Callithrix jacchus: one gene and its partners. The protein of the gene in region 2 interacts with the protein of the main gene of each other region in a pairwise test. Links are inferred from orthologs where the notes say so. Each region holds a gene or a part of one and is shown on either strand. Other genes may lie near its edges. The genes, in order: ADIPOR1, APPL1, UBE2O and FARS2.

What was found.
Region 1: the proteins of APPL1 (region 2) and ADIPOR1 interact in binary tests that used the Homo sapiens proteins (3 or more experiments, as listed by UniProt). The link is inferred for Callithrix jacchus from reciprocal best matches to the Homo sapiens genes APPL1 and ADIPOR1.
Region 3: the proteins of APPL1 (region 2) and UBE2O interact in binary tests that used the Homo sapiens proteins (3 or more experiments, as listed by UniProt). The two-hybrid records come from large-scale screens. The link is inferred for Callithrix jacchus from reciprocal best matches to the Homo sapiens genes APPL1 and UBE2O.
Region 4: the proteins of APPL1 (region 2) and FARS2 interact in binary tests that used the Homo sapiens proteins (3 or more experiments, as listed by UniProt). The two-hybrid records come from large-scale screens. The link is inferred for Callithrix jacchus from reciprocal best matches to the Homo sapiens genes APPL1 and FARS2.

Annotation. Positions count from the first base shown.
Region 1 is NC_133520.1:30,003,246-30,011,553, reverse strand, and holds the start of ADIPOR1 (adiponectin receptor protein 1), read left to right. Parts: upstream 1-3,560; 5' UTR 3,561-4,255; intron 4,256-8,083; exon of another isoform or gene 8,084-8,150; intron 8,151-8,308. UniProt on the Homo sapiens protein: Receptor for ADIPOQ, an essential hormone secreted by adipocytes that regulates glucose and lipid metabolism. Required for normal glucose and fat homeostasis and for maintaining a normal body weight.
Region 2 is NC_133516.1:74,836,048-74,844,236, reverse strand, and holds the start of APPL1 (DCC-interacting protein 13-alpha), read left to right. Parts: upstream 1-3,904; 5' UTR 3,905-4,047; coding exon 4,048-4,101; intron 4,102-8,189. UniProt on the Homo sapiens protein: Multifunctional adapter protein that binds to various membrane receptors, nuclear factors and signaling proteins to regulate many processes, such as cell proliferation, immune response, endosomal trafficking and cell metabolism.
Region 3 is NC_133506.1:132,293,571-132,301,091, reverse strand, and holds part of UBE2O ((E3-independent) E2 ubiquitin-conjugating enzyme), read left to right. Parts: intron 1-1,179; coding exon 1,180-1,239; intron 1,240-1,434; coding exon 1,435-1,545; intron 1,546-4,322; coding exon 4,323-4,420; intron 4,421-4,901; coding exon 4,902-4,965; intron 4,966-5,877; coding exon 5,878-6,021; intron 6,022-6,466; coding exon 6,467-6,576; intron 6,577-6,720; coding exon 6,721-6,871; intron 6,872-7,056; coding exon 7,057-7,521. UniProt on the Homo sapiens protein: E2/E3 hybrid ubiquitin-protein ligase that displays both E2 and E3 ligase activities and mediates monoubiquitination of target proteins. Negatively regulates TRAF6-mediated NF-kappa-B activation independently of its E2 activity.
Region 4 is NC_133505.1:25,185,686-25,193,690, reverse strand, and holds the start of FARS2 (phenylalanine--tRNA ligase, mitochondrial), read left to right. Parts: upstream 1-3,568; 5' UTR 3,569-3,709; intron 3,710-4,116; 5' UTR 4,117-4,302; intron 4,303-8,005. Other genes in the region: LYRM4 (LYR motif-containing protein 4), read right to left, coding at 2,721-2,806. UniProt on the Homo sapiens protein: Is responsible for the charging of tRNA(Phe) with phenylalanine in mitochondrial translation.

The DNA of each region.
Region 1 (8,308 bases), on a different chromosome or scaffold from region 2:
CAGTTTCTTCCATCGAGTAGGAAAAAAGGGAGCATGTACCCTTCGTCCAAGATTGGCTAGTTCCTTGATAGCATCTCACCTTCTTTATGTCTGTGATGAAAAGAACAGTCTCTGCAATGAGTTTTACTTAATATTCACTGTTTTACCTATGCCCAAATCCATACATGTGAGTGTAAGTGGAGCATACTTCCAGAGGTGGCCTTATGGAGATGGCAGGAAAGGAGGAAATGGTTTCTCAGACTCTATGGAGTCTGAAATACATATTTCTGTGTGTGTCTCTCTTGGCCCCTGCCCAGGCTAGAGGGAAACAGCTACTGATAATCGAAAACTGCTGTTTGTGGCAGGAACCCCTGGCTGTGCAAATAAATGGGGCTAAGGCCCTTGTGTGATATTGAAATGGTTGTCATGTCTGGGGTCCTTGTTTCCAAATGCCCAAAGACCTAGGGAGGAAGGGTTTGCCAGCAGGGAACTCTCCCAGGTGTTCCAAAGAACCTTTGAGAAGTTGTACCATGTGCTGAAATGTGAGCTGCCAGTAGACTCGGTGATCATCTCAGCAGCTGTCTCAGCAGAGCCAGAGCTCCTCTTCTCCCTGGAGGCCCTCGAGGTGGGGGAAGATGAACACACATTAGAGGGGACTTTTCTGAGCCCAGCTGCCCCTCACAGTGTTCCCTTAATATGCCACTCTTCCCCTTCTTCCTTCCCGCCCATCCTTCACCATATTTATCCTTCAGGGAACCTGGCACACAAATCAAAGTGTTGCCTTTCTGTTTGGAAGAGAAGCCATCTCCTTTAAAAAGTAACCTGACATCACCAGCCCCGGCCAGACTTGTTGATGCCTTGATGCCTGGACAGAGTTGGCCTCCCCGAGGCCCATCTGTCCTGAGCGCCAATCTACTCTGCTATGGGAGTCCAACCCTTTCCTAGGGTAGGACTAGGGCAGCCTCTCCAGATTCTTCTTTGTTAGTCTCACTGGAACAAAACAATGTGGTGGGCTCAGAAGGTCGGTCAGCATTGCTTTTCTGCTTCTCAGCAACTGTATATAGCTGTTTCTGAGGCTCCTGAGAGAAAGGTTTATGGGACCCTCAGGATTCACTCCTCCCTAGAGCAGAGGCATCAGTAAATTCTGTTGATGTTTTTCCACCCAACATTTCTTGATCAGCTAACGTGTATGGCACTGTGCTCTGTTACATAGGCTCAGCCACCTCACCTCCAGCAAGGAAAATCTTGCCTAGGAATGTTGGGCTCAGACAGTGAAGCAGGTTTGTAAAGAGAATTTCCCTCATGGAAGATCACCATTCCTCATCTGGCATGGGTTTTTGCCTCATGTGCTCAACATACGAACGTTTATTAAGGACTTGTCATGTGCCAAGCACTGTGCTAGGCCCTGAGGATACAAGTGTGACCAAGACTGGTCTGAGACCTCCAAAGAACTCACAGTCTAAGATAGACAAGTGACAAATAATTATAACACAGTGTGACTAATACCAAGCAGAGGTACATACAAAGCACAGCTGGGAAGAGGTTGAGAAAGATTCAGAAAAGAAGGAAGGGGAGAAAGAGCTAACATCTGGGCAACATAGACCCTATCTCTACAAAAACAAAATAAAAATTAAAAAATTAACTGGGCTTGGTGACACGAATCTATAGCCCAGCTACTTGGGAGGCTGAGGTGGGAGAATCCCTCAAAGCCCAGGAGTTCGAGGCTGCAGTGAGCTATGATCTTATCATAGTACTGCACTCCAGCCTAGATGACAGAGTGAGAGCCTGTCCCTAAAAATACAAACAAGTATTTTTGAGTTAATAGCTGTATATCAGGTACCGTGCTAAGTATTCAACCTATATCACATAATTTAATCCTCATGATACTCATATGAGTTGAAGATTAATAATTGGCCAAAGGTCGTACAGCTGGTCAGGGGCTGGCAGAGCCTAAAGCCAAACCTAGAAGTGGGCATTGTAAACTGCTGGCATCTTGCAGCAGACAATGAGAAGGGCAGTCCAACAGAAGGATCAGCCTGAATGAATGAAAGAGAAGTTCACTTTAGAGAACTAGTTCACCAAGACCCAACATGCCAGAGGGAAAATGGAGAACAATGAGGCCTGAGAGGTTAGAACCAGCTCATAAAGGGCCTTGAAACGCTGTTGAAGAAACCTGGACCCAGTCCTGTGGACAGTGGGAAGTTTCTGAGGATTGTATACAGTGGGCAACATGGTAATGGCTAACATTTTTACAAAGCATTTACCATTGGCTGGGTCTCATAATAAGAGCCTGCATGAATTATCTCACTCAGTCCTAACAAAGACCCAGTGAAATGCTATTATTTTATTCCCATTTTTCAGATGAGGTAATTATCATTTGGAGGGGTTCAGTTATGTGTCAAGATCACAGGCTGGTCTGGGACAGAAGCTTGGCTCTATATGACTCCAGAGCCCATGCTTTTAACCAAGACCAAGAGAACTAACCCCATGTCCCTGAGGCACCTATGTCAGATTACGAGTCACTTTCTCTGCCACTAGAATGGCACTAGTTACACAGTGAACTATGATCTCATGATTCCACCACTGCACTCCAGCCTAGGTGACAGTGAGAACCTGTGCCTAAAAAAAAAAAAATTTTTTTGAGTTAACAGCCACATACCAGGTACTGTGCCAAGTACTCTATCTACATCACATAATTTAATCCCCATGATAATCCTGTGAGTTGAAGGTTTGGTCACAGGAGGTAGATCGACATTGCTGTTCAGCAACTGTGGATCGCTGTATCAGGGGCTCCAGAGCATGGGCTGTAAAGTCACACAGAGCCAAGCTTCTGTCGCTGGCCAGTCTGTCCCCTTGAGCACATTATGGAACCCCTCCAAATGACAGTTACCTCATCTGAAAAATGGGAATAAAATAAATACTATTTCATTCTTGGGAGAAATGCGAAAATGGCCAGACCCTGAAATCCCCTTCTGTGTTGTGTGGTTCAAACAAGGGCTGCATTGCCTTAGGTCGTCTCCCCAATCTGCACTCGGTGCGTGTGGGAGCAGGAGCTGGGGCGCGGGTTCGCCAGCAAGAGTAGTTAGAAACAATTCTGCTCCCTGACAAGAAAATAACAGGAGCCAGAACTAAGGTCTAGCCCAGGGCCTGGCACACGGTAGGCGCTCAATAGTTTGTGGAAGGCAGGGAGGGACCATGCGGTTGAAGAAGGGATTAAGACGTGTTTAGAGATGAAACGACTGGCCTTGGGGACAGAGGAGATGAGACGAGGTGTATGGTAGAAGCTTCAGCATTCCCTCCCGGAGTTCCGTCTCATTCTCTGAAATTCCTTCTCCATCACGCACTCCAGGCTGCGAAGACGAGGCGGAGTGTGGAACGCGACCGGCGAGGGCAAGCCCGGGGCTGGTGGAGGTTACCTGGCCGCGGTGGGGAGGCGCGGGGCGGCAGGAAAGGCGGGGCAGCGGGGCGGGAGGTGTGGCCGGCGGGCGCGGGCCTGTGATTGGGACTCTGTGAGAAGGCCTGGGATTGGAGGGGCCCGGCAGAGCCCGCGAGGAGGTGACGCGGCTGCGGAGGTGACGCGTGCGGTCGCGCGCCCCTTCCGGCGCGGGGAGGGCGCTGAAGATAGGGGCCGCTCGGCCGCAGGCCGCCTCCAGCGCCGCGGGATGTAGCGCGGGGGACCGCGGCCCCCAGCAGAGCCCGCCCGCCCGCCCGGCCGTAAGTCTCCCCGGGGCTGCGCTGTGGGCGGGGACTCGGCGGGAGCGCGGGACCCCGGGGAACCGGCCCAGGCCTGCGGAGGGGACAGCCGTTGGGGGAACCCGCTCCGACGTGCCGAGGGTCCCGGGCCTCCGACCCGGAGCCGCCCGGCCTCCGGGCGTCCAGGCGGTGGAGGTTGTAAACATTTCCGGCCCCTCCCACTGCGCGCCGCCTCCGAGGCGTCCTAGGTGCGGTGGGCGCAAGTCCCCTGCTGTCCCTGGCTGTTCCCCGACTCCCGGCAGTTCTGTGAGTGCTGCGCCCTTAGCCCCGCGGGGTGGAGATGCCTGGGTTCCCCGGGTCGGGACCAGTCAGCCAGAGATAAGCCTGGCCCCGAGGCCCGCGCTTGGGGAGGGAGGGCTGCGGGCCTAGGTCGCGAACCGCCTCTCAGCGGGGAACACCCGTCCAGGATGGCTGGGAAGCCCTGAGGTTCCTCGACCAACCATCTTTGGCAGGTCAGGCCATGACAGTGCCCCCACCTTGAAGAGGTGGGAAGGGAGGTTGGTGATCGCTCTGCAGGATTAAGGTAATCCTGAAGACTGAAATGCGGGGCAGAATCTAAGCTAGTTTGGAGAAAAATGAAATTTCATTACCTTGGAAATCTAGAATTGATGTATGCTTTCTTCTGTTTAAGAATTTCGGCCTTCAAACCTTCGATTTTAAGAAAATAGATAAGTGCTTTCCCTCAGTTTCTGGTGCTTCGTGGGAGAATGGGAAACTGACAAGGCCAATTTCAGTTTACACCGTTTCAGGTGTCAGAGGAGCACTAGGAGGCCATGGTACTTTGCTAGATTTCCCTCAAGTAATTTAGAAGAGGGGCTAGAAAATACAGCAGAGAATACATAGGCTGCCGTCTTCAAAACAAATGAAGATTATAATGGCTGGTTGTTTTCTGAAATGAAGTAATAGTGGGGTCTGTTCACTGCTTTTCTCTTTTGCTAGTAGTTGGGTAGGCTGCAATGGTGCAACTTCGGTTCCTGAGGTTGTATATTATCTTTATCCTGCCAGGAATTTAGAGTGGTGCTAAACAGACTTCAACGTCAGTGTTCCCAGTTTGCAGCCACTACATTTATTTATTCCAGAAGTAACTTTTATGTACCCATATTGTGATTTACACTTGGGAAGTCAGTCATAAAAACTGATGTTACCTGTGACGGCCCATCTTAGGGTAGACCTCCGCAAAACTATACCGAATTGCAGAGTAGAATCTGAAAGCCTTCTATTCTCCGTGGTCAAGATTTTGCTAGCAGGTGGGAGAGAATCTCAGAAAAGTAACAGGAAGCAACATTAATCCACTGATCTCCATTGCTGATAGAAAAAGTACACCACCTTAAGTAGGCTTTTAGGCTATTTTCAGTTTCCTCAGTCTGGCCTCATTTTACCTTTCCAGGACTCCATGGAAAGATGAATTGTTTACTGCCCTAGGGACTGTGTTCCTTCACGGCTTTGTTCACGCTGTGTACCCTCCTCTAATGCCCTGTTTCCATCTCCATCTATCAAGATCCTTTCATAAAATCTTCTGCAAAACTGTTTTGATCACTTCAACTAAAGTTGCACTTTTCTTTTGAATTCCTCCTGCACATAATGGCACTAACCCTTGTAGTAATGTCTTAGGAAAGTTACTTCCCCCATTTAGAGGCCAACTATTTCAAGCCTCTGACCCCACTTTGCCGTGTCTCTGTGGCCACAATACCATGCATACTGTAAGTAATCAATCGGTATTCTCAGATTAATGAAGTATAGAAATTGCCCTTCTTTCTAGGCCAGAACGTTTGTTCTCTCTTTCCATAGGAAATTTCCTTTGACTTCTAATACAAAGCCAAACTGAAACCCTTTAACATTCCTGCAACATTATCCTGTCCTATCTACTTATTATCACACAGGTAAAATAAGCAGTCGTCTTTATATCTAGAAACTTTGTTAATTATGGTGAAGTTTTTTCTTGGACCACTTCCTGGACTTTGTTCCTCTCACCATGCTCAAAGTTGATTCCCTTTTTCCTGCTCAGAAATGTTGGGGGCATAGGCTGGGCACCTTGGCTTACACCTGTAATTCCAGCACTTTGGGAGGTCAAGGCAGGCAGATCACAAGGTCAGAAGTCTGAGGCCAGTCTGGCTAACATAGTAAAACCCTGTCTCTACTAAAAATACAGAAAATTATCCAGGTTGTGTGCACCTGTGATCCTAGTTACTCAGGAAGCTGAGGCAGGAGAATCATGTGAACCCAGGAGGCGGAGGTTGAAGTGAGCCAAGATCATACTATTGCACTCCAGCCTGGGTGACAGTGGGAGACTCAATCTCAAAAAAAAAAAAGAAAGAAAGAAATGTTGGCGACATGAATGATGTTACAAATTTTAAACTTTGTAACTATCTTGGATTGAAAAGATCCTTGAAAGTACCCTCTAGCCAGACCACTTCCATATATGGGTCTAGTTTGCTTCTGTTTCCTTAAGGCTTCTGGAGTACATGGTATAAAGTGAGTACTGTATTGTGCAGTTGTATTGACCATGTATCTGTAATGTACTTGAAAGATGGACATTAAAAATGGGCTCTCAGCCAGGCGCAGTGGCTCACGCCTGTAATCCAACACTTTGGGAGACCGAGGCAGGTGGATCACCTGAGGTCAGGGGTTCGAGACCAGCCTGGCCATGATGATGAAACACTGTCTCTACTAAAAATACAAAAATTAGCTGGACATCTGGCAGGTGCCTGTAATCCCAGCTACTCAGGAGGCTGAGGCATGAGAATCACTTGAACCTGGGAGGCGGAGGTTACAGTGAGCCGACACCATGCCACTGCACTCCAGCCTGGGGGAACAGAGCAAGACTCTTGTCTTAAAAAAAAAAAAAAAAACAACGCAGGGCTGGCATTGGCTGGGTATGGTGGCTCACACCTGTAATCCCAGCACTTTGGGTGACTGATGCAGGAGGATTGCTTGAGTCGGGGGGTACTAGGCTGCAGTGATCTGTAATCGCACCACTGCGCTCCAGCCTGGCTCACAGAGCAAGACCCTGACTCCAAATACAAAAAAAAAAGAGAAACAGAAAAAATGGACTGGCATTAAAATCTTTCATATGCCTGTATACTGTTTACTTTTTTTGTCATGACATTAGGAAAGTTTGCCTGTCTGTTAGGGCTCAAAAACACCCCTTCAGTCAGGCACAGTGGCTCATGCCTGTAATCCCAGCACATTGGGAGGCAAAGGCAAGGCGGATCCAGACTAGCCTGGGCAACATAGTGAGAAAAGGTCTGTACAAAAAATAAAATTAGCTGGGCATGGTGGCACATGCCTGTAGTACCAGTTACTAAGACTTGGGAAGTTGAGGTAGGAGGACTGCTTGAGTCCGGCAGGTTGAGGCTGCAGTGAGCTGAGATGACACCACTGCACTGCAGCTTGGGTGACAGAGCAAGACCCTTTCTTTAAAAAACAAACAACCAAAAAACTTCTGTTGGGGAAGAGCTACAAAGGAAGTCAGATTGTTTTTCAACTGGGAGGCTTGACATCAAGTAGGAGAGCTGAGGCCCTATTGCTGCAGTTTGGTGATTTCAAACATGTGCCTTTGCTTTGACTCATATTTCTCCAACACAGCTGTGAAACTATCCTCCTAACAGATGGTAGATAGGGGGAAAGCTGGCTGTGTTCTTTATCTGTACTGCTAGACTGATCTTGCTTTAGCACAAGAATCAAGCTAGGCATGGATAGAGCCTAGCCATAGAATCTCTAAAGGCCTGGGAACCCCAGATTAAAAACTCTTGAAGCTTTGTCTTCGCCTCCAGGAAAGGTGTACCGTAGCCTAGAAAACTTGGGAATTGGTTCACAGTATAAATGTCTCCAACACCTGTAAGTGAAATAACTCTCCAGCTAACTGACTGGTGATTAAAAATCAATCTTTTCCCCAAGTTTGGCACAGGATTATCTTATTTATAGGAGCACAAACACCTCCCTGCTCCACAGCTTTACTCTAATATCCTAGGTTTATCCAGTTGGAAAGCTTAGTGGTAAAGGTTTATTAGCTTGAGTTGAAGAAATCCCATCAAAAATGCACTCAGTGGAGTCTGGCTGAAATAGAATTTGCTATATTGGGTGTGGCAAGCTTGAGGGGAAAGGCATTTCCTCTAAAATACATAAGGATATAGAAAGCTGGCAGAGAGTTGGCCCTCCTAGGATCATTCTAACACCTTAAGGATTTGTTCTGATTTTACATCATAGACTAAAACACACTTGTAATTCTCCATTGTATGTGAGTGGTCCACCCCAGAGAAGTGGTATTTTCAGATCCTAGGATTATTTGCTCTTCTTTCTTGCCAGACGTCCGATCCCTATCTCTCCCTTTCCTGTCTCTGTGTTGCTACAGTTTAGAAGACCAAACTGGACAATGGACTTTGCTCACTATGATGACATGATCTCCATTGACCTTCATTGTATGTACTTTAATGCATGATGATATATTTTGTGTGATGAGTTGCAGCTTACTATTAGTTGTGGTATAGGTAGTAGTGATAAACGAGCTAGAGGGAATCAGAAGAATTAACAGAAAATGATTTGGACTGAAAAGGGAAAAGACTGTGATGATAACCAG
Region 2 (8,189 bases):
TATTGCCCAAAGTTTTTACTACCCACACATGAGTCTCCAGTAACCCCTAAGGTAGTCTCTGAACAAGCCTAATTTCCTGTATAAAAGAAAACTGGCTTAAAATGAACTGAGTTTGGGCTGCTCACGCCTGTAATCCCAGCACTTTGGGAGGCCAAAGTGGGACAATCACGAGGTCAAGAGATGGAGACCATCCTGGCCAACATGGTGAAACCCCGTCTCTACCAAAAATAAAAAACTAGCCGAGCGTGGTGGCGTGCACATGTAGTCCCAGCCACTCGGGAGGCTAAGGCAGGAGAATCGCTTGAAGCTGGGAGGCAGAGATTGCAGTGAGCCAAGATGGCGCCACTGCACTCCAGCCTGGTGACAGAGGGAGATTCCATCTCAAAAAAACAGAAATGAACTGAGTTTGGTTAACTGTATAAAACTTAGGCTACTTAAACTTAAACTTGTTATCTGTAGGGCCGTGGGGCCCCGCAGGGTCATGGGGTGTCCTTTATGCTGTGCTGAGGTGCAGGAACCGAGAAGCAAAGAGACAGGACACTGAAGAACTGGTGAAGAGTATATGGACTCAGGGGGCCATGCCACCTGTGAGTGGAGGTCGGCGAGAGCCCCAAATGCCCAAATGCATTTGTATTTATCAGGTACAAGCAGGAGACAGGGTTGTGAGTGAGGTCATCATCTATAGGCTTAGCAATAGGACATACATAATCATGTGAGTCACAAGCAAGGGGGTCACCCCATTATGTCACTTGGGCAGAGAGGTGGGCCATGCACAGTAGAGGGCATGGGGTATGCAGTAGTAGAGGGTTGTGTACAGAAAGGGGGTCCACCCCCATTATGTCACCGAGGCAAGGAAGCGGGCTGTGTGCAATAGGTGTCGTGCGCAACACTTCTTATCTGGGGGCTGGAGACTTCAAAGGATTTCTAATACAAGGATACTGTAAGCCAATGCAGTAGGAGCTGACAGACTTGTGCTCTTAAGATATTTATGGGAGGATGATTTGAGCTAGCACAGAAGTGAGAAAAGACTGACAGGGTGTACAGCCACTGTGACTGGTCACACCAGAGAGGTTCTTCTCCCTGGGTTATTTCCAGGATCTCAGGCCTGAGGCCTACTTTTCACAGGCACTGGATGCAAGGTACTATGACTCCTTTATCAGGAGGAGAGGCTCTTGCTCCAAGCCTGCCATATAGAGTATGCCCTTTCAGGCAGGGATGCCACCACCTGGGTCTGTAGTTCTTGTCCTGGTCTAGCTGTTTTCCCATGTACTGCTTTTGTTTTGTGACTGCTCTAGGCATTCCTCCTACTAACTACTATATGGTTATATAGAAGGATTCTATTCTATAAATCAGCACTAAATGTGTCAGTACAGCTCTGACTATAATACCTATATTATATGGAAAGATTATATAGAACTAAGTATGCTAGATATAAGTATAAGCATGATTATGTAAGCTGGATATATGTAAGCTGTAAGTTATACTTCAGGTACTAATTCTATAAACTAAAATATGATCATATTTAAAGGATTATATAAAGGAAATAGCTGAGTAATATCACTGTAAACTAAGATATTCTTTAGGCACTAATTGTGCTTGGGAGATCTAAACAGTTCTCCTTCCTCTGTGCCCCTGGGGGTGGTACCCACAGTTATCAAAAAGGACTGTGAATTCTGCAGCTTTGGAGATGTTTTGACCTAGGAAATACAATCACATTTTCGAATGAGCAGGGTATACAGTGACCTAACGCTAGAGAATCCAAATAGAAGGCTAAAATTGGATTCTAGTCGAAATAGGTTAAAACTAGATTTGACTAAACCTACCTCTCCATCCAATTGAATATGAACCTGTTTTTTTTTTTTGTTATTTTATAACCAGAATTTCTTGCCATTATGCGATAATGTAATGGCCTCTTGAGAATCCTTTACAGAAACACAGTTTATATGTATATAACATACTAGAAAGGAAACCATTTAACTTGATAATACCACACCCAAATAATTCAGATACCTAACAGAATTTTTCAGTGGAATTACTTGCTTTGGCCAAGTTAATTGGGTAACAAGTATTTTTCTTTTCTCTTTTTTGAGACAGAGTCTTGCTCTGTCGCCCAGGCTGGAGTGCAGTGTTGTAATCTCAGCTCACTGCAACCTCTGCCTCCCAGGTTGAAGCAATTCTCCTGCCCCAGCCGCCCGAGTAGCTGAGACTACAGGTGCGTCACCATGCCCAGCTAATTTTTGTATTAGTAGAGCCGGGGTTTTGCCATGTTAACCAGGCTGGTCTCAAACTCCTGACCTCAGGTGATCCACCCGTCAAGGCCTCACAAAATGCTGGGATTACAGGCATGAGCCACAGTGCCCCGACTTTTTTTTTCTTATACTTTGTTTACACCCTTCATTTACTCCTGATTCTTATCAGTTGTCACTACCTTTGTTCTCAATTTAAAATCTAACTCAGTTCAGTCAGGAAGATCACTTACCTTGAAAGTCTTCCTTCTTTAGAGTTGGGGTGCATGGTGTTCTTGCTGGCAGAGTAGAAATGAGATATCAAGGAAAAAGAACCTATAATACAACTGGGAACCCTTAATTCATTGCAAGAAGTGACTCCAAACCAACTTCCTCAAAAACTAAAGAACTCTTCCAGAAGGCGACTAGTGATAATCTAAGGGGAGAGCTTTTAAAGACTGTAAGACTAAAAATAATACTGTAAAACTACAATGCAAACCTACCCGACAAAACTTTAAAAATATAATTTTATCTTTCCTTAGAGAGACCATAGGAAAATCTACTATTTTCGTTTAAAACATATAACTTCTATTTGTTACTATACTTGGATTTGTGCTACTCCTATTCTGGATTTGTTCCCATGTATCCATGGAACCAGGCCCCTAATAATCTTTACTCAGCATCTCTGCTATTTCTTGAATGAAAATGGAATGGATTGGTGCAATTAATGGCTAGATGTTTAGAAAACACTAGCTATTTTGCTATTTTCTGTGTATACTGATGAAAGCCTACAACTTTACAGACATAAACGAGCCAGGCTGAGAGATTGGGAAAGATGAAGAGAGAAGAGGAAAGGATGGGCTTGTAGCCCTCATCCGGTCAAATTCTCAACTTAGAGCTTCACTTTATCGTAAAATTAGAGGCTAAACCTATTTAAAGCCTCTTCCAAAACTTTTTGATGAAACAGAAATGCCAATCAGTTACCAACATAATTAACAGTGTATCCTGATTTTTAAAAGATGTTTCCCTTTGTGATTTGTTGGAGTTGCAGCGTCAGTCCTGAAGGACCGACCTCGAGAGGCCAGGTAGGAACTGATAAACTGGCAACTAAGTCACATGTTTTCAACGGAATATACCGACATTCAAGTGTCCAAAAAAATAATTTCGAGCCTACTGTTCACAAGTTTGCCAGAAAGCCCTGTTATTGAGACAACTTCGGATCTCAGATACATGAGTTGGTCAGCACCATTCTGCTGGAGGGGATTAAGACTGGATGCTTCGAGCGGAGTTGGGAAGGTTACCATCTGAGCAAACTACAAAGCGCCAGCAGCAGGGCATTTTTCAAGGTCTCTGCCGAAAAATGTTGCGGGAAAAGTCAACCCGCTCCAAATTCCCCGGTGTGGCCCTCACCCGAGGCTCCGGTTCCCTACGTCGGCAAGCTAGGGAAGAGACGGTCCCCTACGATTTAGACATAAACGCCCGCGTGCCGGGAAGGCTATCCCAAGGCTGACACTACCACCTCCGCCGCTTCCGACACCCGCGCTCATGGGAGAGACTCGCGCCGCACGGGAACCTCCGAACCAACGCCGCAGCGCCGATGGGCGTCCCCGCGAGCCAATGGAGGCGCCGAGAGGCGGGGCAGGGAGGCCGAGGGGGCGGGATTTCCCGCACGGCCGCTCGGAGCCTGGAGAAGGCAGTGCTGGCGGGGAAAGCGGCAGCGCCTGCCTGAGAGGGCGGGCCGGGGTCAGCTACAGCGGGCCGGCAGGCGCGGGGAGCTGTGGGCGGCCGCTGCGTCTCCTGCCGCCACCCTCCCTCCGCCACGATGCCGGGGATAGACAAGCTGCCCATCGAGGAGACGCTGGAGGACAGCCCGCAGGTGAGGCGCGGGCGCTGGTGGGCGACGAGGGAGAGCCGGGCTGGCGGACCCCAGGCCTGGAGCCTGCGCCGTTCCCGCAGGTGCCCGCCCCGGCCCAGGTGGGCGCCGCCGCCGCCCGGGGCCCCCGCCCGTCGCAGGCCGCACCCCGAGTTGTCGAGGCTGGGTCCGCCGCCCGAGGCCCGCGTGGGCCTGCTCGGCTGGGCCGAGGGCCGCGGGCGGAGACCAAGCCGCTGGTGCTCGTGGGCCGGGCGGTCACGTACGCGCGCGGGTCTGCTTTTTATTTCACGAAAGGCGCCGTTTTTATCTCCGTGATGTGAGGTGCTAAATCTCGATCCTGGAATTTTCTCCCCGAGAAATGCAGAAGGGAGAGAAACCCTGGTAGCCTTATTTAATGATTTCCAAGGCTCAGCAAGCTAGGGAAGGAAATGGATAGTTTTTCTTCGGGAGAGGCTGAAAGGCTGTGACGGGTCCCGGAGCCAAAGACCACTCGCCCCGCCGAGTGTGCCCGTGGCGCGGCCGTGACTGTGGTCGCTGTCACTCGAGCTGTACACGGCGAGTGATGGAAGGTGCCTTCGCGCCGCTCCCAGCAGACTTGTCCTTCATAAAATCATCAAAATAAAAGCCCTGTGTTCTCTGTGTCAGAATGATGCTGGTGTGGTTGCTCTAGCTTGAGACAGTTTTGGAAAATGTAACTATTTGATATTTTTTCAGTACTGAAGAATGAAATCAGCTATACTTTTTAAAATGTTGGCAGGGGATGTAAATTCCATAGGGAAAACTTCATTTCTAAGCCTGCCTTTTTACACGATAATTTAAATGGTTTAACACGGTGGTGCTCGTTGGACACCATTTAGAATGAAACATTTCTGAATTATTGCTCATTTAGAAATGCAGTTGCTCCTACTTCATGTGTCTTTACATTTGAACATGGCCTCCAAAGAAGAAAAGCAGAAGAGGTCCAGATTTCCCTTTCCTGGATGGCACTTCTGTCTTGGATTTTGTGCTAGTGTTAATTGCCAAGTTGAAATGGAGCTCTGATTGTAGAATTGATTTGTTCTTTTTCATTCTGAAAGTTATCTTCACAGGCCAGTTGCCTGCTGCTAATGTACTCTTATCAGCCTATACTGACAAAAAGAGAAACTCACATTTGGTTTATCTTGATTGCCAGTATACCCAGTTCAATTTTTTCTTGATGAATTCTCCATATACAGTTATAAACAATATTTGTTTCAGCTGAATGGCAGAAAGCTTATGGAATTGGTCAGGTGAACTTTGTCATTTTACTTTTTATTATGTGAGATTCAACAGGTTGCTTTACCTTCTCTTACCTGGCTTTTTTTTTTTTTAATAGCCCATAAAGACTATAAATGGCTCAGAATGGATTGCGCATTGCCCTAGATATGACTTGTGAGGCAGAGACAAACTCTTGACTCATCTGATTTCTTGAGCTTCTTACACAGATTAGTTTATAATTTAAGAATTGTGTTGAGCCGGGCGCGGTGGCTCAAGCCTGTAATCCCAGCACTTTGGGAGGCGGAGGTGGGTGTATCACAAGGTCAAGAGATCGAAACCATCCTGGTCAACATGATGAAACCCCGTCTCTACTAAAAATACAAAAAATTAGCTGGCGCATGCCTGTAATCCCAGCTACTCAGGAGGCTGAGGCAGGCGAATTGCCTGAACCCAGGAGGCGGAGGTTGCGGTGAGCCGAGAGATCGCGCCATTGCACTCCAGCCTGGATGACAAGAGCGAAACTCCGTCTCAAAAAAAAAAAAAAAAAAAAAAAAGATTTATTTATTTATTTTTTTGCAAGCATGTATCATACTAGTGTCAGTTTTACACTATGTTTGTTTTTGTTGAGATGGGGTCTTGCTATGTTGCCTAGGCTGGAGAGCAATGGCTGTTCACAGACATTAGCATAGTGCACTACACCCTGGAACCCCTGGGCTTAATCAGTCCTCCTGCCTCAGCCTTTCTAGCAGCTCGAACTACCGGCATGTGACACAGTGACAGCTAATTTTTAATGAAGTAGCCACATTGATATTCCTTCAGTGTTTAAAGACAGTAAGTTTGAACTAGGTAAAATTTACTTGGGAAACTTAATTGGGACAACTGGGATTTAGAAAGTGTAGATACTTGGAGGTGATTCTTAGATTGAACCCGTGGCAGAATGAAAAGCCTTGGATTTAGGATAGAGGTACTTTTTAGTCATCACTGCCACTTACTACCTTCTGCTTTAGGACAAATCACTCAATTTCTCTGAACCTTAGCTGTTGTACCTTAATGGCGTGTTTTTATTTTTGACCCTGATTAGGAAAAATAATAGTTGCTTGTTTCAGAAAAATTGGAAGGTCCAGAAAAGAATAGACACACCTGTCGGGTACTCAGCAAAACCCTATTAACAATTTGCTTTCTTTATTCTACTGTTTTTTCCTCTACATGTTCTAATGGAATTGAGATTATATTGTACATAATGATCTTTTTCCTGCTTTTAGCTTAGCATTATAGCTTAAGTATCTTCATAATGTTTTTAAATTCCAAATAAAAATTGTGAAGACTACACATTGCCTTAACTGATTTCCCAACCCATTGCTGGACTTTTAGAGTTTTCCCAAAGTTTGGATTTTATAAATAGGGCTGAGATTAATGTTTTGGGCCATACGTTTTGTTCTCAGTTTGAACTATTTTATCTACAACAGAGTCCAAGAAGTAGAGCAGCAAAGAATATGAAAGACTTTAAAAAATTGGTAAATTTTTGGGTTTTGTTGAGACAGAGTCTCACTCTGTCGCCTAGGTTAGACTGTAGTGGCGCAGTCATGGATCAGCAACCTCAGGCTCCTGGGCACACCCCACTAAGCCCAGCTAATTTTATTTTATTTTGAAGATGGAGTTTTTCCCTTGTTGCCCAGGCTGGAGTGCAGTGGCACGATCTTGGCTTGCTGCAACCTCCGCCTCCAGGGTTCAAGTGATTCTCCTGTCTCAGCCTCCCAAGTAGCCCAACTGAAGAATTTTTTATAGAGACAGGGTCTCACTCTGTTGGCCAGGCTCATCTTGAACTCTTGGCCTCCCACCTCAGAGTCTCAAAGTGCTGGGATTACAGATGTGAGCCACTGTACCAGGCCCAAAAGTTTTTTATTTGATCAGTTTTTAATTTTTTTAGATTATTTAGATCTAATCAAAAGAGGCCTGCCAGTTGTTACATAAAAAAGTTAGAGCCTTGGCCAGCCCCAGTGGGTCATGCGTGTGGACACTTGAGGGTGGGAGTTCAAGACCAGCCTGGGCAAAATAGCAAGACCTCATCTCTACAAAAAATAAAATTAGCTGGGCGTGGTGGTAGGAGCCTGTGGTTCCAGCTATTGAGGAGGCTAAGGCAGGAGGATCGATTGAGTCCAGGAGTCCATGGTTGCAGTGAGATGTAATGCACACCATTACACTCCAGCCTGGGCAATAGAATGAGGCTTTGCCTCAAGAAAAGAAAAAAGAAAAAAAAAGAAGAGCCTAGGAGTGATGGAAGACTATCCTAAATTACAGTTATCTTTCTTTTAGTTTTGATTTATTTAGTAACTACTTACTAAATTAGGGAGAATTTGCAAGTCCAAAATCCAGCTTAAAAAGCATCTTTTAAGGATACTGCCTGGAACCTGGGGGGGAAAAAGCATCTTTAGAATTACCTTGCCCAAACCACACAATTCTGCAAAAGAGGATCCGTTAAGCCAGAAAATCTTAAACTTGTACTAGATGCCTTGTCCATATTTATATGTTGTTTTAAAAATTAAAATAAAAATAAACCTTGTTAATTAGTAAAAACAGATGATGTAAAAAAAATAATTGATTTTATGTATAGGTGTGTATCTTAATGATTCATCTATGATAGAACAGTGAAGACAAACCCCATTCCCAAAGGGAATCTTCCTTTGTGTAATATGAAATACTCATAGATTATGAGATGTGCCTTTCTCCCTAACATTTTAATGTTTCTGATTGGGATTCTTCTTACAGTTGATGGTATATTAACAATTGCTGACAGCCAGGTAGCAGTAGTAATGTACTTCACATTGCCTGCCAATGTACATACTTGGTTGTTTCTC
Region 3 (7,521 bases), on a different chromosome or scaffold from region 2:
TCCTGTGGACTCTCTGCACTGCTGGTTGGTGAAGGGGTCCTTTGCTTTTTTTTCCCCTTTTTTTTTTTGTTGAGTCATGTTCTTCTGGCAGAGTTTGTTTTAGTCTTCATTGCTAGCATTTAAGTGACCTTGAGCCAGTATCTTTCTTTTTCAGCAACTCAGTTCTCCTTTCTTGGTAGTGACCTCTCAGTGCCCCAGGTCGAGAGAGGCTGCCACCACAGAGTGTCTGGTTGGCTATTTGAGGAAACAGCTCTCTAGACACGTGGCTTGGGGTCTTGGAACTGGACACACGCGGAGACCTGTCCATAATTATGACCGTAGGCTGGGCGTAGTGGCTCACGGCTGTAATCCAAGCACTTTGGAGGCCTGAGGTTGGGAGTTTAAGACCAGCCTGACCAACATGGTGAAACCCCATCTTAAAAAAAAAAAAATGTAAAGGAACTGCCCCAGGTTTGAGGAACCAGCAAAAAAGAAGGCAGGCTGGCCTGGTGGAAGCATCTCCTGCCTAGGCTGTTGGGATGTGGAGCAGCAGGAGGCAGCGGTCGCTGCTAGCTGTGCATAAAGGACAGTCAGGTGCTCATGCAGTTGGCCAGGCTCCAAGAGCCAGCCAACTCAGCAGCCCGTAGGGCTCCACAGCGCAGCAGATAAGGTGCAGGCCACAGCTGGTCAGGAGGATAACCCAGATTAGAACGTGGTGTCCGGTGATAGCCGGGCTTCAGGGTGACCCAGCAAAGCCCGGTGTTCTGCTCCTCTCCCAGCCCACGCTCCGTCAGCCGGGGCAGGTACTTGCAGAGGGCAGAAAAAGGATTTAACGCAAAGCAAATACTTTGTTCTCTGTAGAATGGGCTGTTAAATCCTTAATTAAAGTGTGGCCTTATGTGATCTGTCATTGAGCTGCATTCAGCCTGAGGAAGGATACCTTCGGTCAGCTGAGTGTTTACTGTTGGTGGGCGAGACAGTGACCATAGGGGTACCAGGAGGCCTGCGGGTGACTCGCTCTGCCTGTGAGTCTAGGTGCTGGTTGGAGGTATGTGCAGTCTGTGAAAATGCTTCTAGCTGAACACTTAGGATTTGTGCATTTAGCAGTGTGGATGTGACACTTCAGAAGAACTTTGAAGAAAAATGTATTCTCTGGTGGCTTCAGAGCCCATTCTCTCACACTGGTATTTACTTTTACAGCTGAAACTAGAAGACCGTTCTGTGGTACCCCGAGATGTGGTCCGGCACATGCGATCCACTGTGAGTCCTGCGTCCCCACCCCAGCCCTGGGCCTGGGAGCAGCCACCTTGGGGACTTGAGCCTGCCCACTTCGCACTCTGTATGTGGGAGAGCTGGCCAGCTCTGCAGGGGACATACTGGGGTGGTCTGGGCTGGGTCTCCCATGGGACCAAGGCTGCTGCACCTTGGGGCTTGCATGCCTCCTCCCTCCCCCAGGACAGTCAGTGTGGCACAGTGATCGACGTCAACATAGACTGCGCCGTCAAGCTCATTGGCACCAACTGCATCATCTATCCCGTCAACAGCAAGGACCTGCAGCACATCTGGGTAAGCCAGCCTTGTCTTCTCATCGTCCTTTCTGGGCCCTCTGGTTCTCTAGGGCACGACCTCAGGGCTGTAGCCTTCTCTGCGCTCTTGCCAAGCACAGCCTTCCTGGGTCAGAAGGCAGAGCACAGCAACCGGCTGGCTCCTGTAGTCTTGTTTTCGCTGCCTTCCAGTAAGCCATTTAGACACGAGGTCAGGAGGTGCCCTTCCCCAAACCCAGCATAGACTGCTGATGTGGTTGTCTTTAACTGGTTTCCTTTCACCTCTAATATTTCTTTTTAAAAAATTATTTTCAATAATTTTATTTTTTAAATATTTTTTAAATAATTTCAAACCTACCAGAAAGTTGTAAATTCCTGTGTCCCTCTCATCCAGATTCCTCAGCTGTTAAGATTTCACTTCATTTGCTCCATCACCTTCCCTCCCTCCTTCTCCCCCAGATCCCTCTCCTGTCTTTTTTATTCCCAAAATATTTTGGGAATAAAAAAGAGCAAGCTTTGAGAGCAAGCTACAGATATGATGCCCTGTCACCTACCCCTGAATACACCTCTCTGTATTTTCCAAAAACAAGGACAGCCTCCTGTGTAACCACCATATAACCCCCAGATTGGGAAGTGGACATTGATAATTACAGTCTTGTCCATAGACCGAATTCAGTTGTCCCAACTCTACTCTTGTTTTGTTTTTTTCGGATCCAGGACCCAATTCAGGAACACATCTTGCGTTTAATTGTCACCTCTCGGCCGGACGCGGTGGCTCACGCCTGTAATCCCAGCACTTTGGGAGGCCGAGGCGGGTGGATCACGAGGTCAAGAGATCGAGACCATCCTGGTCAACATGGTGAAACCCCGTCTCTACTAAAAATACAAAAAAATTAGCTGGGCATGGTGGCGTGTGCCTGTAATCCCAGCTACTCAGGAGGCTGAGGCAGGAGAATTGCCTGAACCCAGGAGGCAGAGATTGCAGTGAGCCGAGATCGCGCCATTGCACTCCAGCCTGGGTAACAAGAGTGAAACTCGGTCTCAAAAAAAAAAAAAAAAAATTGTCACCTCTTTAATTTCTCTCCAATCTGGAATCATTTCCCAGCCTATCTTTGTCTTCCATGTCCCAAACAGTGATACATTCAGTAACTGGACCCTCAGCCTAGGTCTGTCTGGTATTGCCTCATGCCCATGAATTCATGGCAGACCCGCCACAGAAATGCCACTGAGCTTTGCGCTGGTTCATGGTACCCCATAGCCAAAATGTTGGGGTTGTTCACTTTGATCCCTGGTCATGTTGGTGTCCTCCAGGTCTCTCCACTATAAACTCACCATTTACCCCCTTAAGTGATTGTATTCTGTGGGAACACAGTCCTGGATTATGTCAATGAACTACCTATCATTTGTCAAACTGAAATCCACCACCTTTGACCTCCATTCACAGTTCCTCCTGCACCAGCCATTGCTCTGATGTTGCTAAATGGTGATTTTAAGGCTCCCTGGCTGCCCCCCATTTCTATTAGCTGGCATTCTGCTTTGTAGAAGAGCTCCATCTTCTGCTGACATTTATTTATTCGTTTTTTAAAATCAGTATGGACTTAGAGATTTCTGTTTTATCCATTGGTTGTAATTAATTGCTACTATTACTACCTGTTCTGTTGCTTAGGTGATCCCAGATATAGCCAATGGGAGCCCCTTCAGGCTGGCTTTCATGTCCTTTTCACATGGCCCTTTCTGTTGGTTTTTTAAGTATTTTCTTTCTTTCTGGCATGAGAAGCTTCATTGTGTTCAAAGAATGGAATTTTTAAAACCCAAATCTGGATGCTAGGTGTGCTAATTGCTACTTGGCCCTTTTGGGACACACTAGGAAATACTCATGTATTAGATGTATACACACATTTAAATATGTCACTACCTGTTCTATGTGTATGTTAAAGTATATGAGTTCAGGCCAGGTACAGTGGCTCATTCCTATAATCTCAACACTGAGAGGCTGAGACAGGTGGATCACTTGAGCTCAGGAGTTCACGACCAGCCTGGGTAACATAGCAAAACCTCATCTCAACAAAAAAAAATAGGAAAAAATTGGCTGGGCATGGTGATGCATCCCTGTAGTCCCAGTTATTCAGGAGACTGAGGTGGGAGAATCACTTGAGCCCAAAGATAGAGGTTGCAGTAAGCCAAGAAGGTCACACCATTGCACTCCAGCCTGGGCAACAGCAAAACCCTGCCTCAACAATAGAAATGAAAATATATAAGTTCATCCTGATACATCCAATTCCACTTAAACACCTCAGATGACTCTTCCTTCTCCCCTTCTGTTAGTAAACACCTGGACACCTTCTCCAACAGTGAGGGACTTGGCTGTCAATATCCTCGATATGCTAATGGATTTACTCAGAACACTGTCCATATAGCCACCCCCCAGCGGTATGGCTGTCTCCTCTGCCTGCTACCTCCACAGCCTACTTGCCAGTTGTCCTGTGTCCATGGATGTCCCATGTCCATGGATGCCATCAGCCCTCTGCCCCTGCATAAACCACCCCGTTACCTCTAGGTAGCCCCACCACCACAACCAGCACCACTTCCTTCTCGCTGAGAAGAGCAGCTGGGATGCAGCCTAGAACTTGTACAGATGGCCTGCTGCAGCAGCTATTTAGGACTGGTTGCCAACCAGTCCAGACAGTGGGCTGTCTAGATCCTTGCCTCTGCCTGTCTCAGTGGGGCATAGAGGAATCTATTCCCTGGACATGAGTGTTGTCTGCTGTGTCTCACTGCCCCTGCTCCCTTGGTCTGCAGCCCTTCATGTATGGGGACTACATTGCCTATGACTGCTGGCTGGGGAAGGTCTACGACTTGAAGAACCAGATCATCCTGAAGCTATCCAATGGCGCCAGGTAGAGTCTCACCACCAAGGAGCCATTGGCTTGGGAAATGGCTTCTTGGAAAGAGGGAAGGAAGAGGGTGTTTCCTCCTGGGGCCAGTGATGACAGGTTTGATCAAGAGCAGTGACAGATGTTGATAGCATCCCAGGCCTGCAAAGCAGGGCCTAACCCTGTGGCGTTCTCCTCATCTACCATGGTCTAATTCTGTTGGTCAGTTTCTGATCTGTCCTGCCGTGGGGAGAAGCGTGTTCATATCTGCTAGGGGCTGGTGCTTTACTTGAGGCACTGTGATGGTGCTGAGCACTCCAGTGGCACTTGGGATCTTGTTCATTGTGCATTGTGGGAGAGTTTTTTATACTACGTCGGGCTGAGCTGATGGTGGAAGATGAATTTTGCTGTTTCGGGTACTTGGTGTATTGGCATCTTAGGATCGCAGCTATTTGGTACTCACTGTGTCCCCTGGTGGAGACCAAGCCTCTGTTCTCTGTTTTAGGTGCTCCATGAACACGGAAGATGGCGCCAAGCTCTACGACGTCTGCCCGCACGTCAGCGATTCGGTAGTGTGCTCTGTTCAGGCCACGCCCTTCTCTGATTGCTCAGTCCTCTGGGAAGAGGACTTCTTAGCAAAGAGCTTGTAGCTGGCCCTGGCTAAACAGAGTGGTTTCCTGGAAGAGGATTGGGTGTGCACCAGAGGCTCTAAAAGTTTGGGTATAGGCAGAAAGTATTAGAACTTTTTTTTTTTTTTTTCTGAGACAGAGTCTTACTCTGTCGCCCAGGCTAGAGTGCAGTGGCACGATCTTGGCTCACTGCAACATCTGCCTCCTGGGTTCAAGCGATTCTTTGGCCTCATTCTCCCAGTAGCTGGGATTACAGACATGTGCCATCATGCCTAGCTAATTTTTGTATTTTTAGTGGAGATGAGGTTTCACCATGTTGGCCAGGACGGTCTCGAACTTCTGACCTCAGGTAATCCACTCACCTCGGCCTTCCAAAGTGCTGCAATTACAGGTGTGAGCCACTGTGCCTGGCAGTATTAGAACTTTTATTTGCATTTCTGTTAGCCTTTTCCTCTCATCCTTTGAAGTCTCACTGTTGCTCTCTCAATACAGGATGATGTATTAGTTATAATAGTACATGGACACAAATAGCAAACAAGTAGATATACAGGGGGTGTGTGAGCAAACAGGTTTCAGGTCCACTGCTCTCTGGAGCCTTATTCCTCAGAGTGTGAGCCCTTGACCAAGGAGCACGGAATGAGTCAGCCTACATTTGAACAAGGGTGCCAGGTGACCTCTACGCACCCAGAGTTTGGGAAGTGCTGTTCTTGAGCCACACGACTTGTTTTAAGGCATGTAATGCCTGTGAGTGAGCTTCTGCAGGTGGGCAGCCAGCAGGCACAGGTGTGGAGAGCGCGGTCACCCAAGGAGGCACTGCTCACAGGGACTTTCCTCTGGCCCCAAATCCCACAGGGTCTCTTCTTTGATGATTCCTACGGCTTCTACCCAGGCCAGGTGCTCATTGGCCCCGCCAAGATCTTCTCCAGCGTCCAATGGCTGTCAGGTGTCAAGCCCGTGCTCAGTACCAAGAGCAAGTTCCGAGTGGTGGTGGAAGAGGTGGGTCTGGGCCTAGGGGCAGGAGACAGAGTCCTTGACCTCCACGCCCTGGAGCTGAGCTGCTGCCCCTTTCCTGCCTGCTCTGAGGATTGAGCCCTGCTCTTCAGCTTCTGGACCCTGTTGATCTCAAAGGGCTTTAAGGAAAAGGGGAACCCAAGCTCTGGTCATAGTGACCAAAAGACAGATGTCCCCAGCCCAGCCTGAGCAAGGTGGGAGGGTGGTGGGTGGCTACCAGTGGTCCCTGGCTGGTATGAGCAGTGATACTGGTCCTGGGTGTTGCATTGGGGCCGTGGTTACAGTCAGGGCCTACTCTGATTTGTCTGTACTTGGTGCTGCACTAGGAAGATCAGTTTCCTCCTCTGGAGGTCAAGTGGGCCCTGGGCAGCTGGCTAAAGAGTGCTGTCAGAGCCTGCCCTGACTGGCGTGTCCCACCTGCCATCCCCAGGTGCAGGTTGTAGAGCTGAAAGTTACATGGATTACCAAGAGTTTCTGTCCAGGGGGCACGGATAGCGTCAGCCCCCCACCCTCTGTCATCACCCAGGAAAACCTAGGCAGGTGAGCATGCCCTGCTGCCAGCAACCCAGGGGCACCCATGGGACAGGGCTCTGGGCCCTGGCCACAGATACCTGGGGAGGCTGGAGAACACTGCTGGCCTCCCAAGAGTTCAGCCTGGCTCACCCCCACTTCTCCCTCAACCAGGGTGAAGCGTCTCGGATGCTTTGACCATGCTCAGCGGCAGCTTGGGGAGCGCTGTCTGTATGTCTTCCCAGCCAAGGTAGAGCCAGCCAAGATTGCCTGGGAATGTCCAGAAAAAAACTGCGCCCAGGGGGAGGGCTCTATGGCCAAGAAGGTATGTCCTTGGGGTTGGGGGTTGGTGGGCATTTGAGGAACTGGCCTTGAGCCATTTCCATGGCCAAAAAGGACAGTCTGTGCTTTAGGCCTTGGTGGGCAGCAGCCCTGATGACCCTTGCCGGCTACTCAGGTGTATGCAGCTATCATCCTCACAGCTCTGTCATCTCTGCTTCGCCCTTGCAGGTGAAGCGTCTATTGAAGAAGCAGGTTGTGCGGATCATGTCATGCTCCCCGGACACCCAGTGTTCCAGGGACCATTCCATGGAAGACCCAGACAAGAAGGGGGAAGCCAAAGCCAAGGGTGAAGCGGACTCTGCCAGCCCTGAGGAGACACCTGATGGCTCTGCCAGCCCAGTGGAGATGCAGGATGAGGGCGTAGAGGAGCCCCAGGAGGCAGGAGATCAGCTGCCCCCGTTCCTGCTAAAAGAAGGCAGAGACGACAGGCTGCACTCGGCAGAGCAGGATGCAGATGACGAGGCTGCCGATGACACGGATGACACCAGCTCAGTGACCTCCTCCGCCAGCTCCACCACTTCCTCCCAGAGTGGCAGCGGCACGAGTCGCAAAAAGAGCATCCCTTTGTCCATCAAAAATTTGAAGCGCAAACACAAGAGGAAGAAGAATAAAATCACCCGAGACTTCAAGCCA
Region 4 (8,005 bases), on a different chromosome or scaffold from region 2:
TCCGCCTCCTGGGATCAGGCAATTCTCCTGCCTCAGCCTCCCGAGTAGCTGGGATTACAGGCACGTGCCAACATGCCCAGCTAATTTTTTTGTATTTTTAGTAGAGACAGGGTTTCACCGTGTTGACCAGGAAGGTCTCAATCTCTTGACCTTGTGATCCACCCGCCTCGGCCTCCCAACTATATTACTTTTGATAGGTGACTTAACCTCCCTGTGCCTCAGCTGCCCTACGGGGTCATAAAAATAGTACCTACCTCACTAGATTACTGTCAAAAATAAACATGTTAATAGACATGAAGATGATAAGATAGCAGTCGCACACAGAATTGATCAGTGGATGCTGTATTGCTATTGATTTGCCATCAGTGACAAATAGCTGCTGAGATTAGAGTGGAGGGAAGGGACTGTTCTTGAAATCCACAAGACACAGCCTTAATGTAAAAGAAGGACATATTTTATAACAAGTAAGTTTATCTTGGGAGATGACAGTAGCAGAAACCTAAGTTTTTAGGTCCATGATCTCAGGCAACAGTATAAAATGATTACCAGACTCCTTTGAATAATACATTTATATTTGGGTAGTAAATTTAGCTGAAAATTATATGTTTAAGTATAATTTGACCAATTATTTTCTGAATGTATATCATCTTACAGTTGTCCATACTGAAAGCCATTTTCAATTTTCTGCCTTTCAGGTACAGCCTTGAATGATTTTCCTGCAGTCTGAATAATTTTCCTGTTGAGTTTCTTGAATGATTTTCCTGTTCAGTTGGCAACTACTCATTTGAAAATAATTGGGATTCATTTGCTCATAAATCACTTCCAAAGAGAATTTCAGAAATAGAAGGGTCCTTAGAGACTGTCTAGTCCAACAGTCTATTTCACAAACAAGAGCTCTGAAAAACAGAGATTGAGTGACAAGTCCAAGTTATAGTCTTTGAGGGTTCCACCTTGACTTTCTACATGCTCTCACATAGACCCTCTCCCTGCCATTTTCTTTAGTGTGTGAACTCCCTGCTGGTTCCAAGTCCTTAGGTATCCTCAGTCTAAATAACAAAGTATCTTCCTCCAGACTATGGTGAAATCAAATGGTTTCTATGTATATAACGTGCATATTTCATGTGTTCCCTCAACAGACTTGGTTAAGTACTTGGTGCTAGGTGTTTGTTTAATCTTGCTAAAAATTCCACCAGTATGCCTATTATTACACTCATTACTCTCCAAAGTCAAAGTCATTAAGTAAAATCATGTTCTCCGGTGAAATTTAACCACTTAACTGGGTGGATACGACTTCAGGGGTATGACCTAGATGCTGTTCTCAAATTTGCAGAATGAACATGTTTTCTAAGCAGGTTTCTAAACATTTGAGAGTCACTGCTTAAGAGGCTTACTGTTCCTTTCTTCTGACAGAGGTTGTTCAGGTCGGTCTGCCAACTCACACACCTGGTAGAGGGGAGCCTACCTAACCAGGTGTGTTCCAAGGGTAGGCTCTGCTCCTATGACATCCAGTCCATAGGCTGGCCAGTCACCTAAGTGAGGCTTGGGGTAAAGACATGATTGATCGAGTCAGATTTTTTCTCAGGGGAATATGGCTTAAAATCAGAGAGGAGTAGCAGTTAGTCAAAACCAAACCAAACCAAACAACACATCTGAAAAAAATGCAGAGAGAATCCATAAGGAAATGATGGGTCAGAAGCAGCAACAAAGTGAAAGTAGAGGTTCTGAATTAGAAAAAACCATACAGGCCGGGCGCGGTGGCTCACGCCTGTAATCCCAGCTCTTTGGGAGGCAGAGGCAGGTGAGTCGCTTGAGTTGGGAGTTTGAGACTAGCTTGGCCAACATGGCGAAATCTCGTCTCTACTAAAAATGCAAAAAATTAGCCAGGCGTGGTGGCGGGCGCCTGTAATCCCAGCTATTCGGGAGACTGAGGCAGGATAATCACTTGAACCCCGTGGGGCGGAGGTTGCAGTGAGCTGAGATTACGCCGCTGCACTCCAGCCTGGGCAGCAACAGAAAAAGAATCATAGGCAAATAGGGGAATGGTGAGGCATGTAAAAAAGTGAATGTGTTATATTAAAGATGTAAGAGTTTAGACCCTCAGTGTCCTGCTATCAAGGTCAATAAGCAGGATCTGTCTGGTGAGCCAGGATAAACTGAGGTTTCAGCTCCAAAGCCTGTGAGGTCCTTTTTCCTTTACCGCTAAGCCTTTCCATCGTACCCTAAATAGAACGGATTTGATTCTGGCAACCAAAAGAACTCTTTACGACACCTGGGAAACTTTAGGGAGGTGCTAGCGTGTGCCTTAAGCTTTTTAGCTGTGTGCTACTCACTGGCCATTTCCACGCTCTAGGGAAGTTTTACGTATGCAACATATTGGCCTTAACTTCACCAATGGCTGATTTCCATCTTTTTTTTCTCTTCTGCAGAAACATAACACTAATCATGCTCCGAGAGCACCAACCAAGGTAGACTTTAGGGGGAAAACGTTATAAGACGTGAACGTCTTCCCTGGTAGAAAGAAGAGCAAGCCCTCCGCTCCTCCCCGAGGTCTCAGAGGCCACACCTGCAGGCAGGAGCACGCTTTTCTATGGCGGAACCCGGTCCCTTTCTCGCGGCCGCCGGCGCAGGACGGTGGTTCCAAGGACATTCCGCGGCAGCCCGCGCCCCCGGCCCCCGGCCACCGGCCCCCGGCCCCCGGTCCCCGGCGACCGCCGCGTCACCTGTAATTGTAGGCGCTGAAACGCTTGCTTTCTCTCAGCATAGCCCGGTACAGATCTAACACTTGTGCGCGGCTGGAGGCTGCCATTTTGGAAAGAAAAAAACAAACGGGTCCTCTTCGGAGAGGTCCCAAGTCCAGCCCAACCCACGGAACTTCAGCCTGTGCAGAAACTACGAACGAAATAAAGTGCGGCGGCTCGGCCTTGCCAGCTAGGCGGGCACCCCTGAGGACCGCAGACGGCACCCGGCATCCCGGGCCTCTTCCAAGGCGGGCACAGGCAGGCCTCGGGGCAGCTAAGGGGGCGGTGCCTGGAGGGAGGTGCCTCCGCTCCGCCCAGCCCCCGGCTGGAGGCTCTGGACCCAGCAGCCGCTCCAAGCGGCTGAAAGGCGGGGAAACTAGAGGCCTGGCCGTCGGGGCATCCAGCCAAGCCCCTGGGGGACGAAGATCGGAGGCGCGAGCATCCGAGAGAACTGCAGTTGCACCACGGAGAGCCTTTGCGAACCGTCCGGGGTCTTGGAGGGGACATTTGTGTTTCAAGGCGCAGCGGCCCTTAGTACCTCCAGGAGGCTGCGTTGCCAGGGTTACCGAAGGCCGCCGCGCCGAAGGCCCGCCCTTGACCGCCGATTCCCCGCCCCCACTGGCTGCGGCCGCCCTCAGTGCTGCCTGAGAGGCCTTGCGGGATTTCAAGGGTGACTTGACTTCGCCCGATCCTGCTCGGCTGGATGGGGTTTCATGGCCTTCTCTATGTTGGGAGGCGCGATGTCTGGGTGTGGAGGTGATGAGCCAGGGGTTCTGTGGTACTCCGGCGCTGCTCAGGGCGACCTGCATAGGGGCCTGCGGGACAGGCCCGCTTTCTGTCAAAATGGCGGTGCCCAGCGTACAGGGGTGTCTCTTCAGTTGGGGTTTAAGATTCTTGCCCTGAGAGCGAACTAGCCTGCCACGCTTCCGATTTTGAAACACTTGGGTCTGGGTTTCCCGGGAGAGCGGTGGGTGAGTGCCGGCCTCGTTGCAGCCTGGGGTGCGACGTGGGCAGTTGGTGTGGTAGGGGGTTTACATTGGCCGTGGATTTTTTTCCTCTTTCCTGATGTGGATTTGCTTTTGAGTGAAGTGTCCCCGTGGTTTTGTAAACTAATAAATTTGTAAAATGCAGCCTGGCTGTAGACCTCGGAGAATAATTAGAGACCTTTAGGGGTTTAGGTATTCTCCAAGAAGCAGAGCAAGTTTTCTCCCATGGCTTGACCTAAACTTTTTTGAATTACCTTATTAAAGTGGTGGATAAAGTTGCTTGTTCTAATTTTTGAGCATGGGACTGGAGGCAGGGAAGCCTCAGCCAATTCTAGTACTGTGTTCGCAAAGCAATTTTCTTATTTTTGGAATCTTGCTTTACATAACCTTAGGAAGAACGACACCTTTCTGCATTCAAGCACAGTGAGGAGTACCTTTATACGTAAAAACAAAAGGGCTGGACGCAGTGGCTCCCGCCTGTAATCCCAGCACTTTGGGAGGCCGAGGCGGGCGGATCATGAGGTTAAGAGTTCAAGACCAGACTGGCCAACATGGTGAAACCCCGTCGTTGTGACATGGTAAAAGCCCCATAAAGCTGCATACCTCAACCATACCTAGGCTTTGTGTTGAAACTGCTCTCTGTAACCCTGATGTGACAGGCAAGCAGTCCAAACCCACGCCATCTTGGCCCCTGCGACTTGTAATAAGTAACTAAGGTCTGTAATTTCCACCCATATCCAGACAACGTGTAAACTAACACTTATCTTGACTTCTGTAAACCGCTTAAGCCACAATCGGAATATCCAAAGCCCTCTGGCCCTGGGAATGTCCGGAGCCCCTCACTCTCATCTCCGCCCCAGAGGTAATTTACGGAATCCACTGGCCCTTGGAATGTCTAAAGCCCCTCACCCTCACCCCCAAGGTGGTTTACAGGCGTAAAAGTTCTTGACACCCTCCTTTCAGGGCCACGGGTTGGAGAGACGAGAGTCCTCCGTGACCGCCGGCAATTAAGACCCTGCAATTTGGCATACTTTTGTCTTGGTGTTAACTTTCTATGCTCGGGCCAGTACAACACGCTACTGAAAAATACAAAAATTGGCTCGGCCTGGTGACTCGTGCCTGTAATCCTAGCTACTTGGGAGGCTAATGGAGGAGAATCAGGGACCTGGGAGGTGGAGGTTGCAGTAAGCCAGTTACAATTGTTTCAACCTATTAAGGAATTTAATCATTAATGTATATAATTAATGTATCTAAATGACTCAACTTTGTGGTAATCAAATAAAACTTCCAAGTAAATATGTATAGTTTAGATAGTTTGGGTAGCCTTGTCCTCTGTTAGTACAAGCAATGGTTGCAGTTAGGAAAGCGATAGCTTCCCAGTTAATTCTGAGCCAAGTCTTCACAAAAATACCTCATTATTTTATTTAAAATGGTTTACCAGTTTGATGGACATCATTGCCTTGAGAGGCTAATAGAAAATATTAATTCAAAAGCTACATCTCACTTTTGCATATCTTTATTGTGGAGATGCCTTTTTTTGTTTTTAAAAAAGAAGAAAGTAACTCTATTTGAGACTGTAAGTAGAATGGGCCAGAAGCTGAAGAATGGACCATACCCATATGTTCCTTAACATGCATTCTGTTCTGGGTTGAAATTTTTCTTAGGGAATATCTACAATAGGAGGTACCATTTAGGAATCAAAACATAAAAATTTCTTTAGTATTCGTTTTTCGTTTATCCAAAGTTATCAAGTAACTATAGTTCTTTATGTAAAATCTTGTATTATCTTCTATTAAAATTAGGGTTGTCCATGACCACCTAGTGCTGTGTGAAGAGAAATTTCTCAAATCATAATAAACAGCATAACAACAATTTACTGTCCTGAAGCTTAAATATCAAAGTGATGTATGGAGTAAAATTTGTATAGAAATAGTAACTTATGATATTATTTAGAAATTATTCAGGTGGGCATGGTGCTGTACACCTGTAATCCTAGCACTTTGGGAGGCCGAGGCAGGTAGATTACTTGAGCCCAGGAGTTTGAGACCAGCTTGGACAACATGGCAAAACCCCATCTATACAAAAAAATACATCATAGCAAACCTCATCTCTACACAAAAAGTACAAAAATTAGCTGGGAGTGGTGGCAGGTGCCTGTAGTCCCAGCTACTCAGGAGACAGCGTGTAGTCCCAGATACTCAGGAGACTGAGGTGGGAGGATTGCTTGAGTCCTGGAGGTCGAGGCTGTGTTGAGCCATAATCACGGTACTGCACTATAGCCTGAGCAGCAGAGTGAGACCCTCTCCAAAAAAAAAAAAACCAAAAGAAAAAAAATTATTCTATCCTACACCAGACATGAATCTAAGTATTATACATTGATCCTTCATTTTAATAGAATATGAAGGGGGAAGACCTTATATATCAACTCATTCATTTGTATAGATGAACAAACTCAAGCCTTCCTCATTCCTTCCTTCCTTCAGCATTTATTGAAGACTTCGTAAGTACCATAATTTATTATTTTTTTTTGTTTTTTGTTTTTTTTTTGAGACGGAGTTTCACTCTTGTTGCCCAGGCTGGAGTGCAATGGCGCAATCTCAGCTCACTGCAATCTCTACCTCCCGGGTTCAAGCGATTCTTCTTCCTCAGCCTCCCAAGTGGCTGGGATCACGGGTATACACAACCATGCCTGGCTAATTTTTTGTATTTTTAGTAGAGATGGAGTTTCACCATGTTAGCCAGGCTGGACTCGAACTCCTGACCTCAGGGGATCCACCTGCTTTGGCCTCCTAAAGTGTGGGGATTATAGGTGTGAGCCACGGTGCCTGGCCAATAAGTACCATAACATATGAGGACAAAACTATAAGATGACATAGTTACAGTGATGAGAGCCTCCCCACCCCTAAGAAACCTGTAGGTGATTAGATAAACCAAACAATAATTTATAGAGACAGGTTCTCGCTCTGCTTCCTAAGCTGGAGTGCAGGGGTATGATCATAGCTCATTTAAACTTCAAACTCCTGAAGTGATTTTCCTGCCTCAGCCTCCCAAGTAGCTAGGTCTATAGGCTCATGCTACCATGTCTGGCAAATTAGAAAACTTTTTTTTTTTTTTTTGGTAGAGATAAGATTTCACTATGATGTCCAGTATGGTCTCAAACCCCTCAGTGCATTTCCTGCCTTGGCCTCCCAAAGAGTTCAGCTTATAACTATAAAGTGTGAGCCGTGGCACTTGGCCAATAATTTCTTTTTGACAGTTGCTGTGATAAGAGCAATAATTTAGCAAATACTAAAGGAATACAGAAGAGGAATATTGAACTAGGACTTTCACCTAAGGGAAGGCTTTCCATCATAGGTGTTTCTAGAATGAATAGTAAGAGCCAGATGAGGAATGTGGTTAAAGATTGTATTGTATATTCCAAGCATGGAGGCAGAAGGGTGCTTGATCTATTTAGAGAACTCTAAGTGTTTTAGGATGGTAGGAGGTGGGAAGGGAGGGACCGCAGAAGTGGTTAGCCCTGCACTAACTTTATTTTAGTGATGTTTTTCCTATTTCTGGAATAAATCATTTCTTCCATTATGCATTGGCTGAGTCATATAAGTATAGCTTAACAGCTGAGCTGTTGAAATGGAAACTATTTATTCAGGTATGGATAGCCTTTTGTTTCAGATCATGAATTTGAATCCTATATTTGAGAGGCAGTGAAATTTTATTTGTGCATTCAAAAGATAGCCGGCAGCCTGGTAGTTCAAGTTTCTGTTCTCGCAATGATAACTTGAGGATGATGTAGAAATCAAACATGGATCCCGTTTTCCAGAAGTTTATACTTTAAATACATTTGTATATAATTAAAATAAGGAGTAGGAGATATTAGGTTGGTGCAAGAGTAATTGGGGATTTGACCATTAAAAGTAATGATCAAAACTGCAGTTCCTTTTGCACCAACCTATACAAAGTGCTTCAAGGAAAGGGCTGGTGAAGCGTCACTGGGTCTCAGTGTAAGAAGTCACTTCCATCCCTTATGCTTGGGCCACACCTCAGACCAACAGCAGGGCTGAGGCCCAGGCTTCAGAGATTTTTGTTTAATTGTTTTTTAAGTTTCCTCCATGATTGGGTATAGCCAGGGCTGAGAAACACTGATATGAAGGAATCAGGAGGCTTCATGGAGGAGGTAATGTTTGTATTGGGCTTGAGAAGATTTAAGTTTCTTCTGGGCCTTGAAAGGAATTGAAGGATTTGAATGGGTGTGTGGTGGTAAGATGGCTACTGTAGGTGGAAGAC